Ovis aries: one gene and its partner. The protein of the gene in region 2 purifies or fractionates together with the protein of the main gene of each other region. This does not show direct contact. Links are inferred from orthologs where the notes say so. Each region holds a gene or a part of one and is shown on either strand. Other genes may lie near its edges.

Evidence for each region. The genes of interacting proteins can lie anywhere in the genome.
Region 1: the proteins of MAPK3 (region 2) and DUSP6 purify together in Homo sapiens (affinity purification with mass spectrometry; 7 studies listed by BioGRID and IntAct, with this or other methods). This does not show direct contact. The link is inferred for Ovis aries from reciprocal best matches to the Homo sapiens genes MAPK3 and DUSP6.

The regions. Positions count from the first base shown.
Region 1 is NC_056056.1:125,701,472-125,705,910, reverse strand, and holds the end of DUSP6 (dual specificity protein phosphatase 6), read left to right. Parts: intron 1-903; coding exon 904-1,211; 3' UTR 1,212-2,465; downstream 2,466-4,439. UniProt on the Homo sapiens protein: Dual specificity protein phosphatase, which mediates dephosphorylation and inactivation of MAP kinases. Has a specificity for the ERK family. Plays an important role in alleviating chronic postoperative pain.
Region 2 is NC_056077.1:26,695,291-26,701,833, reverse strand, and holds the end of MAPK3 (mitogen-activated protein kinase 3), read right to left. Parts: intron 5,371-6,543; coding exon 5,181-5,370; intron 5,019-5,180; coding exon 4,902-5,018; intron 4,641-4,901; coding exon 4,526-4,640; intron 3,916-4,525; coding exon 3,784-3,915; intron 3,602-3,783; coding exon 3,492-3,601; intron 3,401-3,491; coding exon 3,278-3,400; 3' UTR 3,247-3,277; intron 2,453-3,246; 3' UTR 1,826-2,452; downstream 1-1,825. Other genes in the region: lysophospholipase D GDPD3, read right to left, coding at 109-154, 242-377, 608-650, 927-1,065.

The sequences.
Region 1 (4,439 bases), on a different chromosome or scaffold from region 2:
TCTTGATTCTGATATATCTTCTTCCTTTAAAAAAAAAAAAAAAAAAGTGCCTTTTGACAAGGTTGCAGACCACAGGTGTATTGCAAATTTTGTCTGTTTTTTGACTGACTCCAGTCATTTGTATGTAGACAGCAGGATTTTCCCACCATCTTTGGACTGGAGGAGGGCCAGATAGAAGTACTCTTGGTAGACAGGAATCCTAGCATGACTTTATAATTTTAAAAGACCAACCTGGGAGTTGTTTTAGGACACCAAGTTAGTTGTTGGAAAGCTCTGTGAATGTGAGATGCTGTAATCCAACTGAATGTTACTGTGATACTGGTTCACAGTGAGACAGTGAGGGTAACCTGAGCCCAGCAGGAAGAACTGTGGGCTGAAAGCCTGGAGAAGCGAATCTCCAGGCATTGTAATGCATTTCCTATTACAAAGGAACTCATTTTCAGGCCATGTCGACATCCTGTTCCTCCTAATGGGCTGTCCCCTGTGACTTCCCTCTCTCTTTTTTGAAATGCCTGAATACCTCCATTGTTAGCTGCACAACAGTTGGAGAATAATTTAATAGACCCTTGCAGTCTGCTTGTCTGTATAAAAGGCATTCACGACCATATTGCAGGGTTTCTGGTATTCACATGCTGAGGCAAAGAATGCACACATTAAGGGGTTTTGTGTTGGCAGAAACTTAATACAAAAGCTCCCTTTTCAGAAAATATCTGAAATATGTAATTGTGCCCAGTGTACATGTTTTAGCTCAGTGATACATTTTCTGCTGCCTGCAGGGCTCAGCTGCCACACACAATTGTATTTTAATCTTTAGTATTATTATTACTCAGGTTTTAGGCTGATCGTTCACAAAGGGGGATTTTTGGTCCACTGATATTTTTCCCTTTCTTTTTCTGTTTACAGATGAAGCCCGGGGCAAAAACTGTGGCGTCCTGGTGCATTGCTTAGCTGGCATCAGCCGCTCGGTCACTGTGACTGTGGCTTACCTTATGCAGAAGCTCAATCTGTCGATGAATGATGCTTATGACATTGTGAAGATGAAGAAATCCAACATCTCTCCCAACTTCAACTTCATGGGCCAGCTCCTGGACTTCGAGAGGACGCTGGGACTGAGCAGCCCCTGTGACAACCGCGTCCCCACACAGCAGCTCTATTTCACCACGCCCTCCAACCAGAATGTCTACCAGGTGGACTCTCTGCAATCCACGTGAAGGGCCCCCCCAACTGGGATGTGTCCAGTCGATCTTTAGCAGTTTCTCTCAGCAGCAGCCGCCAGGCTGCTTTCTTTGTATGTGGCCCCAGGTGTTAACAGGACACCAGCTGTCTGTATTAGACAAGGTTACCACGTATGGAATTGGTTATTCCCAAGGGAGAGATTTGCTCCCTTCCTGTTGGAAGAACAGGACCCGCTGTATAGATAGAGGCAGTAGGTTTGCTCCACACCCCTGTGTACAGCCTACCCCTGCAGGGACTGGGATTCGAGGACTTCCAGGTACATAGGGTAGGACCAAATGGTAGGGTAGGAGCATGTGTTCTTTAGGGCCTTGTATGACTGTTTCTTTTGCATCTGGAACTGATTCTATATTGTCTTCAGTGAAGACCGATTCAATTTTGCATATAGAGGAGCCAAAGAGAGGTTTCAGCTCTGTGTTTGTAGTATCAGTTTGCAAAAAAAAAAAAGAAAGAAAGAAAAGAAAAAAAAAAATCAGTCAAATGAATCTCATATTCCATTTGATTATTGTAAATATTTGATCTTAAATCACTTGACAGTGTTTGTTTGAACTGTGTTTTTCCTTTGATGGGTTTAAAAGAAATCATCCAAAGGGAGAGAGAGCAGTTTGCCACTTAAAAACAATGGAAACTTTTGCTCTTTTTGAATCCAAAGGATATATTTGCAGCATGCTCAACGCTACCAATTCCTGAATGACATTTTCATGGACACTTGATGATCATGGAGACCTTGTTATGGTGCAGTCTTCAGTCTCTCTCATATATCTTCCTTGTGACTTTTTTTCTCCTTAATGTAGTTTGACTCTGCCTTATCTTTGTAAATATTTTGATTTGTGTTGTCTCAAAGGGGATATCTTGGAAAGACACCAAAATCATGGGCTCACTTTTTTTGTTGTTGAAACTTCAGCTGTGCTAAACAGTATCTTACCTCTGTACAAAATTCTTCAGGGAGTGTCACCTCAAATGCAATATTTTGGGTTGGTTTCTTTCCTTTTTAAAAACAATTTGTGTGAAACTGGAAGCGTGTGCGCGTGCGTGTGTGTGTGTGTGTATGTGTGTGTGTGTGTGTGTGTGTGTGAGAGCATGGGTACTCATTCGATAGGTGACATGCATATGATTGTGCAGGAAGGAGACAAGTGGCTCCGTATGTTGATGGTATAAAGTTCTGAGCTGAAATTTTATTATAAGAATGTAAAACCTTAAATTATTAATAAATAACTATTTTGGCTATCAAATGTGTATTTTTTCAAAATCTCTCCTTAATTGTACTTAGATATGAAGTGATACATTTTAGGATTTTTCAGTTGGGGATTGATACTGGCTTATTTAAAATACATGTAGGAATATTGGGGCAAAGTTCTCATCTCAAACTATTACCAAGAAGTCTTCAGGTATGGTTTATGAAATTAGCCTTTTGCTTCAAGTAAAAGTGACATAATGGAAGGGATTGACTATATCATTTCCTATGAGTGTGAGTGTGAAATTCTCTCAGTTGTGTCAGATTCTTTGTGGTCCCATGGGTTATAGCCCACGGGGCTCTGCTGTCCATGGAATTCTCCAGGTGAGAATACTGGAGTGGGCAGCCATTCTTTTCTCCAGAGGATCTTCCCAACCCAGGGCTTGAACCAGGGTCTCTTGCATTGCAGGCAGATTCTTTACCATCTGAGCCACCAGGGAAGTTCATAATCATTCCTATGGACAAAATATAGTAAGTCTGGCCTATTTAAGAAAACTGTGATGCTCTTGAAGGAAAATGGTGTCATAAGAGCATAGCTTTCTGAAATTACAATATTTAGATATTCATGAATAGTCACAAAGAGAAGGCATCAGAATAACAAAACGACAGCATTAACCTCTCTTGATTTTCCCTGTCAGGGTCTTCTGCTCAGTAATACACATACCAGGAAAAAAGTAGAATTATTTCTCTGGTTTGTAAGTGGCACTTCTATCTGCAAATTCTAGTCTTGGAATAGTAAATGAATCAGGGATGGTGTCTCCCCTTTCTGGTGTACATGGCAGAGCACAGCTAACCGTTCTCCCTGAGACTGGATGTGGCCACAATTTCATATTAGCGCTTGAAGCATCACCACTCCTGTCCTAATGTGCTTTGTGCTTAACTAATTTAGAATGTGGGCCAGAAACCCCTGTTGAAAAAAAAATTTTTTATGCTAAGGTTATTTTGAACCATTAATTTTCAAGGTAAAGGCTTAATATTCTGTCATTTCCCTCAGGACATCCCTCTCCGTGTCCCGAGTGTCAAAGTACACAAAAGTGTATGAAATCAAAAGAACTAGAACGTACATTTCCAGCCCTTTTTGAATGAGCTTAGTCCCTTTGTCTGCAGTGGAGAGAAAAATGAGCTTTTCACTCACATGGTACATATGAGGTGTCAGTTGGATTATCTGCTAGGAGGCAAATAACCCTGATTCTATGACAATTGTATCAAGCTGTCCTGTGTGACTTTTAGCAGCTAAGCATGTACAAAAGGCAGAAACAGTGCAGAAAAATACCAAGTCAGTCCCTCCCATTTGGGTGCCCTGAGTCAGCCGGAGCTCCGAAAGGAGAAGTGGGTTGCAGTTCAACTTGGCTCGTGTTAATCCGGTTCTGAACGGTTTCCGCTCCTGGCATTCCCTAAACTGCCTCTTCAAAGTAGGGATTTGCGAGCAGCCTTAGCAATTTCCTGTCCAGCTGCAGCTCGAGTAGCTGTGTGCTTTTCTCCTCCCTTCTCTTTTCTCTGATTTCTTTTCTCTTTTCTCTTTCTTCTCTCTTTAATACGGGTGGTGGATAATTTTAGTGCATTTCCTCTTTGTGGATTATCGTCTCCTTTCCTTCTAGAACTTGCAAACACTGAGTTCCTTCGGCTCTGCTCAAGCCGACAGCTGGCCTCCCCAGCACTTCCTCTCGGTTCACTGTGGGTTTGTTGTTTGTCAGTCCACTTCTGAAATTAATAATGTTTTCTGGCCCAATGCCACAAGCCATTACCACAAAGGGGAAGTAACACATATGAATAGCAGGAAGCCACGCAGGGTCACAGTGTGAGCTGAGCTTGTGGTGGGAGCATAATTGAGCCCAGCTCATTCAGCAAGTGTCTGACATCGATTTGGGGGAGACGGAGCTCCCTGCCTTTAAGCAGCTTAAGCTGTGAAAAAAAAAAAAAGTTTCCAATAAATTGGTAGCAAATGGTCTTTGTCATCAGTGCAAATAAGAGA
Region 2 (6,543 bases):
GAGCCCAGGGGCAGGGGATGGGTCCCAGAGGAGAAGAGGAGGCAGGAGGTTGAGGCGGGGACCCCACTCCAGTAGGCGCAGCCCAGCGCTCGCAGCCCACGCTCTTACCTGGCGAGAAGTAGACCTCTAGCTCTTCCTTTAAGAGGGGCAGGTCCTAGGGAGAGCAGGGAGCAAGTCACCAGGAGGGGCGTAGAGGGGGGTTGGTTCTCTGGGCACAGTGAGGGGCTGCGGCAAAGCCCACCTCAAAGTTCAGGCTGCCCACGTCCCTGTTCACACCTGTCTGGCGGAACAGGTTTTTGTCGTGTGACACCACCACCACGCCGTCCCGAGTCAGGTGGCAGTCGAGCTCCAGGAGGTCCGCTCGCTGGGCCATGGAGCTACGAGAGCGAAGGTCAGTAAGTGGCTGGGGGACAGGGATGAGCCAGATGGCAGGGTGGTGGGGAGGCTGAGGGGAACATCAGGTCTGGCCAGATATGCAGGCAGTGCACTGCGCAACTCCCGGGGGCTCCAGTCACCCAGATCAGGAAGTGGATGGCACCCCTTAGCATCATGCCTCACACAGCTGGCACAACCTTAGCCAGCAGCATGGCTGGGCAGGTGGACTCACTTCTCCATGGCCTCCATGGTGTTCTCCAGGCGCTCTCCAGACCCTGTGTGGGGCAGCTGGCGTGGGTTCCTGGGGCCTGGCCTCCCTCCCCCCACACCCCCTGCCCCTTGCCTCATCACTTCAGTCAGGACAGGTTGAACGGCTCCTTTTTCCCTATTCAATCTCTTGCCCTGCCATCCTTATCTCCGCCTACCTTGAACTCTGCCCTCCCTTTAACATCCTGCCCTTGGGACCTAGCCCTCTCTGCTGCCCACCTGCCTCGCAGTCCTCACTCCATCCTCAGGAGTGGCCACCCCGTGCCTATCCCAGCCCAGCTCACCTCCGCGGTGGGCCCCCAGGCGGGGACGGAAGGCTGGAACCCATGGTGTGTGCAGCAGGCGAGGTCGGCGCAGGAAGAAGAAGGACAGCATGACATAGCTGCCCAGGGCGGGCAGGGCGTAGTAGAGCAGAGGGCTCATGGCCACGCCGCCTCTCCAGGCTCCGGCAGCCGTGGAGCTCAGCTTTTCCCGGTGGACTGTGCTGCTTCACTGACTGCCTGGCTGATGTAGGCTGACTCCACCACCGGCCGCCACCACACCCCTAGGGACCTGCTGAGCCTGCTGCTGGCTAGAGGCCAGAGTGCAGGGCTGAGCTGGGGATGGGGTAGAGGCAGGAGAAGAGACCAGGCAGCTCTGGGCCTCACACACTAGGCCCTTCGCACAGCCCAGCCTCCTTGTCTCTGTGGCCACACCAGGGAAATCAAGTCAACCCTCCCCCCAGCAGGTCCACTACCACACTCCACCTTCCCACTGGTGCCTGTTGCCGGAGTATATATACACCCCTTGCCGTTTCCAGAGAATCTGGGGGTGTGCAGGGTGTCCCTGAGTCACTCTAGAATCATCTCCAGCCAGTTAGACAGGAAACCATCACAGAGGGGACAGGACAATGAATAAGGGGGAACTGACCCCGACTCAACAGACATGAATTGGAGCAAACTCTGCAAGAGAGTGGAAGACAGAGGAGCCTGGCAGGCTGCAGTCCATGAGGTCGCAAGGAGCTGGACATGAATTAGTGACTGAACAACAAGACCCCACTCTGGCCAGGAGTCTAGATCCCACTCCCATCCTCAACCCTGGCCAGCAGGGGAGCCGAAGGCCACCATGCCGGGTAAAGCATCAGCGCTCAGGGCAGCAAGGGTGAGGGTCAGGGCGTCGGCGAACAGAGAGAGAGCCAGGGCCATCCATAGACACATCTCTATATTTATATATTAGATACAGGCACAGGGGTGGGCGGGGGCCCTGGGCGCTCCACAGGCCCCCACCTCCACTTCTGTTCACCCACACACGGAAGCAGCAGGGATGTTAGATGTGGCAGCTTTGTAGGGGAGGGGTTGAGACCTGGGCCCCCGCTCCTCAGGGATACTAGCCCTTGAGCCTTAGGAATGTTCCTTCAGGGAAAACAGGGTGGGGTTTTAACGAGGTGAGGGGCAGGGCTGACCCTGAGTCCCAGCTCACGTCCTCCTCGCCCCTCCCCCACCGCCCCTCAGTCGGTCCGGGGCAACCAGAGCCCTTGGATTCCAGAACTATCAGAGACTGGGAGAGCTGGGCAGACAGAGGCAGAGCAGCAGAGGGGAATTTGCTTTGGGGCCACCTGAGCCCCTCAGGTCCTGGGCGGGGGGTGGGGAGGTGGGCAGGAGGAGGAAAGGAAGGGCGTGTTGGCCTGCCTGAGGCAGGACGCCTGAGCGAAGCGAAGGGAGGTGGCCAGGCCCGCCCTCCACCCCGACCTGGGCTGTCGGGGGGGTCTGGGCTGGGTACACGGTCCATTTTCTAACAGTCCAGCAGGGGAGGGGCAGGCAGGAGGCAGGGCCTAGACAAAAAGGTAGGCAGGAAAGGAACCATTAGCCCGGTGGCTGACCTGCCTGAGCCCCACCCTCACTTCCCTCCTATCACCTTGCGGCTGGGTGGCATGCAGCTGGCTTTCCTTATCTGTCAGTGCGGGTAATATTAATACCCATTTCAAGGTACTGCTATTGGGACTAAGTGAATTGATACAAGCAAACGTCTTGCAGGAATTTCATTATCAGGCTGTCTCCAGGAGACTGAGGCGCGGCAAGGTGAGGTGTCTTGCACAATATCACACAGCCCTTATGAAGTAGCAGAGCCGGGCTTTGAACCCGGGTGTGTCTGCCTTACTGATATCAGGCTACAGCTGGCCAAAGACAGACAGGAAATGAGAGGAGGGCCGCACAGCAGTGTGGGTGTAGCCCCAGCCAGGTTCCCGCAGGTGTGTGAACTGCTGACCTGGACACCAGGTGAGAAAAAGCCTGGCATGTGGGTCAGGCTGGGTGCTGCTGGCTCCTCCCAAAGCAATTACTGCTCCCCCTGCCTCTCTGCCTGCCCTGGGGGAGCCAAACCCTGGCTCCGTTTCCTCAGGTGGATGAGGGGGGCCCTTCGTGACCTGGGGCTGGAGTCTGCAAGATGTTGACATGGGGGAGACATATGGGGCTGGGGACCACAGGTCTGTGGCCAAGGCAGGCTGTAGCCCTTCTGTTGCCACCAAACCCGTGGCTCGTGGATGTGAGCAGGCTTGTGACCGTATGGAGGCATGCTGGGCATTCTCGTCGCAGGGTGAATCTGTGCAGGAGTGGGGGAGGCACTCACCAGGCCCCAGGAGCAGAGGCAGCCAGCCAGGTTAGGAGGCCTCCAGCACCCCAGGCTGGAAGCGGGCTGTCTCCTGGAAGATGAGCTCCTTCAGTCGTTCCTTGGGTAGATCATCCAGCTCCATGTCGAAGGTGAAAGGTTCCTCGGCCACTGGCTGGGGTGGCAAAGAAGTGGGGTGGCTCAGGGCAGGGACCGAGGGAAGACCCCCGTCCACCTGTCAGCCCTGCCACTAGTGGCTGGCCCACCTCATCCGTTGGGTCATAGTACTGCTCCAGGTAGGGGTGAGCCAGCGCTTCTTCCACTGTGATCCGTTTGTTGGGGTTAAAGGTCAACATCCGGTCCAGCAGGTCAAGAGCTAGGAAGTGCAGGGGTCAGAGGTCAAAGGGAAGGTCAGAGAAGCTCTCAGAAGCACTACTTGGCTTCTCTGTGTTCAGAGGCTTGTTGGTCCAGAGGCCTCTGTGTCCCAGAAAACCGCTGGGCTCTTGTACCTTCCTCTACACCCAGTTTTTATTATACAAGTTCCCAAGTCTCTCTCACCTTTGGGGTCTGACTTAGGAAAAAGCTTGGCCCAGGCCACCTTGGTCTTGGAGGGCAGAGACTGCAGGTAGTTTCGGGCTTTCATGTTGATGATACAGTTCAGGTCCTCCTGGGATGGGGAGCCCAGAATACCTGTGGGTAGGGCAGGTGACTTGGTGAGCAATCTCTCCCTTCTGGGAACAGAAGGAGCCAAGAATAAGAGCCCTCCGCCAACCTGCTCCAGGCCAACCATTATCTCCCAGCCAATACTATGGGGGTGAAGAGCCGGGGGTCTGGATCGGGCAGCCCCAGGTTTAAATCCTGGCCCGAGCACTTCCTAAGTGTGGGGTGTATGGAGCCTTGCTTTTCCCATCTATCAAATGGGGACAGTATCTGTAACTCAGTTAAACACTGTGAATGCTGTAGGGGCTCCTGGACCACACATGGTGGTCCCCCTGACCTGACTCCTGCGGACACACTGACCCTGAAGTGAAGTCGCTCAGTTGTGTCCAACTCTTTGCGATCCCATGGACTATATATAGCCTGCCAGGCTCCTCCGTCCATGGGATTTTCCAGGCAAGAATACCATTTGGGTTGCTATTTCCTTCTCCAGAGGATCTTCCTGACCCAGGGATGGGTCCCGGGTCTCCTGCACTGCAGGCACACTCTTTACCTTCTGAGCCACCTGGGAACTTTGACCCTAAAGAAATCTCACCTCCAGTAAGCAAGTTTCCCTCCCACTCAGCTGGCCAATACCCCCTACCCAGAATGTGGTTGAGCTGGTCCAGGTAGTGCTTGCCGGGGAAGATGGGCCGGTTGGAGAGCATCTCAGCCAGAATGCAGCCCACAGACCAGATGTCGATGGACTTGGTGTAGCCCTGGGGAGGAGGAGAAAAGTGGTGGACTCCTGGGCCAAGCCGGCACCCCTGACCCTAGGGTCAACACCAGCCAGGGAGGCAGAGCGAAGAAGCCTGGGGAGTGAATCCTCAGTTTCTTTCCATAGCCCAAGGACCAGAATAATGTGACAAGGCCCAGAAGGGACACTTCCTGCATCATGAGGGTCAGTGCTGGACTCAGAGGTGGCTCCAGGGCTTTCTGGGATCCGGTCTCTTCCCTTCACGGGTGGGTGGGCCCCCTACCTTGGAGTTAAGCATGATCTCTGGGGCCCGGTACCAGCGTGTGGCCACGTATTCCGTCAAGAAGCCAGTGTGGTCATGCTCGGGATCAGCAATCCGGGCAAGACCGAAATCACAGATCTAGAATGCAAACCAGGCTGCTGAGCTCAGTGCTCAAGGCCTCCTGGGCCCAACCAATCCTATCACCCATGTCTCTCCTACCCATGGCAGGAAGGGGACTACTGGTCACCCTGAAGCCTGAGACCCCAGGGGCAGAAGGAGACAGGCACGCAACCCTCAGACCTTAAGGTCGCAGGTGGTGTTGATGAGCAGGTTGGAGGGCTTTAAATCCCGGTGGAGCACGTTGGCGGAGTGGATATACTTCAGGCCCCGCAGGATCTGGTACAGGAAGTAGCATACATGGTCGTTGCTCAGCTGCTGGCTTTTGAGCAATTTGTACAGGTCTGTCTCCATCAGATCCTGCACGATGTAGCTGAGGTGGGTGCCAGAGGCCCCCCAGGTGGGGGCAGTGGGAGGCAGTTGGTTAAGAAGAACAGACTCTGCTGACCAGGTTTCACATCCCTCCAGCTGATGCCCCTGGGACTCAACAGATCTGCCAGCTCATATCATGAGCTGGGCAAGGCCCACACTTAGCAGGTGAACTCAAGGCCTCTGCTGGATCTCAGCTGGTGACCCTGAGCAAAGCGTCGCAGTTCTGTAGCCTCAGTCTCCCTATTGAGAAAATGGGGATAATAAACTGGGAAGCAGGAGAACGTCCCAGCTAAGAGCAGTAACTCTGGAGTTCACCTGCCACTGTCAATCATTCCTGCACTGGTCATTCATTCACTTTAGGAACTCAAGCCCTGTCTGCGCCTCTCTTCCTCATCTGTAAAGGGGAAAAAAAATCCTTTTTAGAGAGTGGTGGTAAAGATTAGTTGAGAGATGACCCAGGCAGTGCAGCCAGCTTGGTGCCTGGCACGTTGTAAATGTTCGGCAAATGTGAACTAGTATTGCTGTTATAAAAGACTGAGCCACATGGCTGTTGAGAAGGTTAAATGAGATTATGTATGAACACCATCTGGCAGGCAATAAATGTTTGCTTAAAAATAAATGCCTGCCTTATGGGGATGGTTTGTGCAAGACGAATGAGGAGAAACTTCCCAGCGGCACGCTCCTACTCCGGGGGCTTGGCCCTACACCCGAAGACAGAGGAGTAAATGTCCTTTTATACTCTAAGATAAAAAAAGAATTAAACATAAACAAACAAATAAACGTCATGTGGGTTGTTTCTGGAAGACTCAGTTATGGCTGTCTTTCAGAGTCAGCCTCAAAAGGGCCTTCCGAGAACACCTGGACCAACCCTGCTATTTTAAAGATGAAGAGGCCCGGCATGCTGCAGTGACTTGGTTAAGGTCACACGACAAGCTGAGGGTGAGTGTGGAAGTTTCCTGCCCACAGTTTGTGGTGGGGGCTGCAAACAGTGCAGTACAGATCACCACTCTTGGGGGAAGGACTGGGATGGTGGGGGTGGGTGGGGTAGGGGAGAGGTGATGAGTGTAAAAGCTCCTAACAGAGCCAGGCAGGAAGTGGACCCACAAACTAGGAAAGCAATGTGTGTGTGTGGGTCGGGGGGGCCACAAAGGCAGGTCTGTTCCTCCCTGGGCAA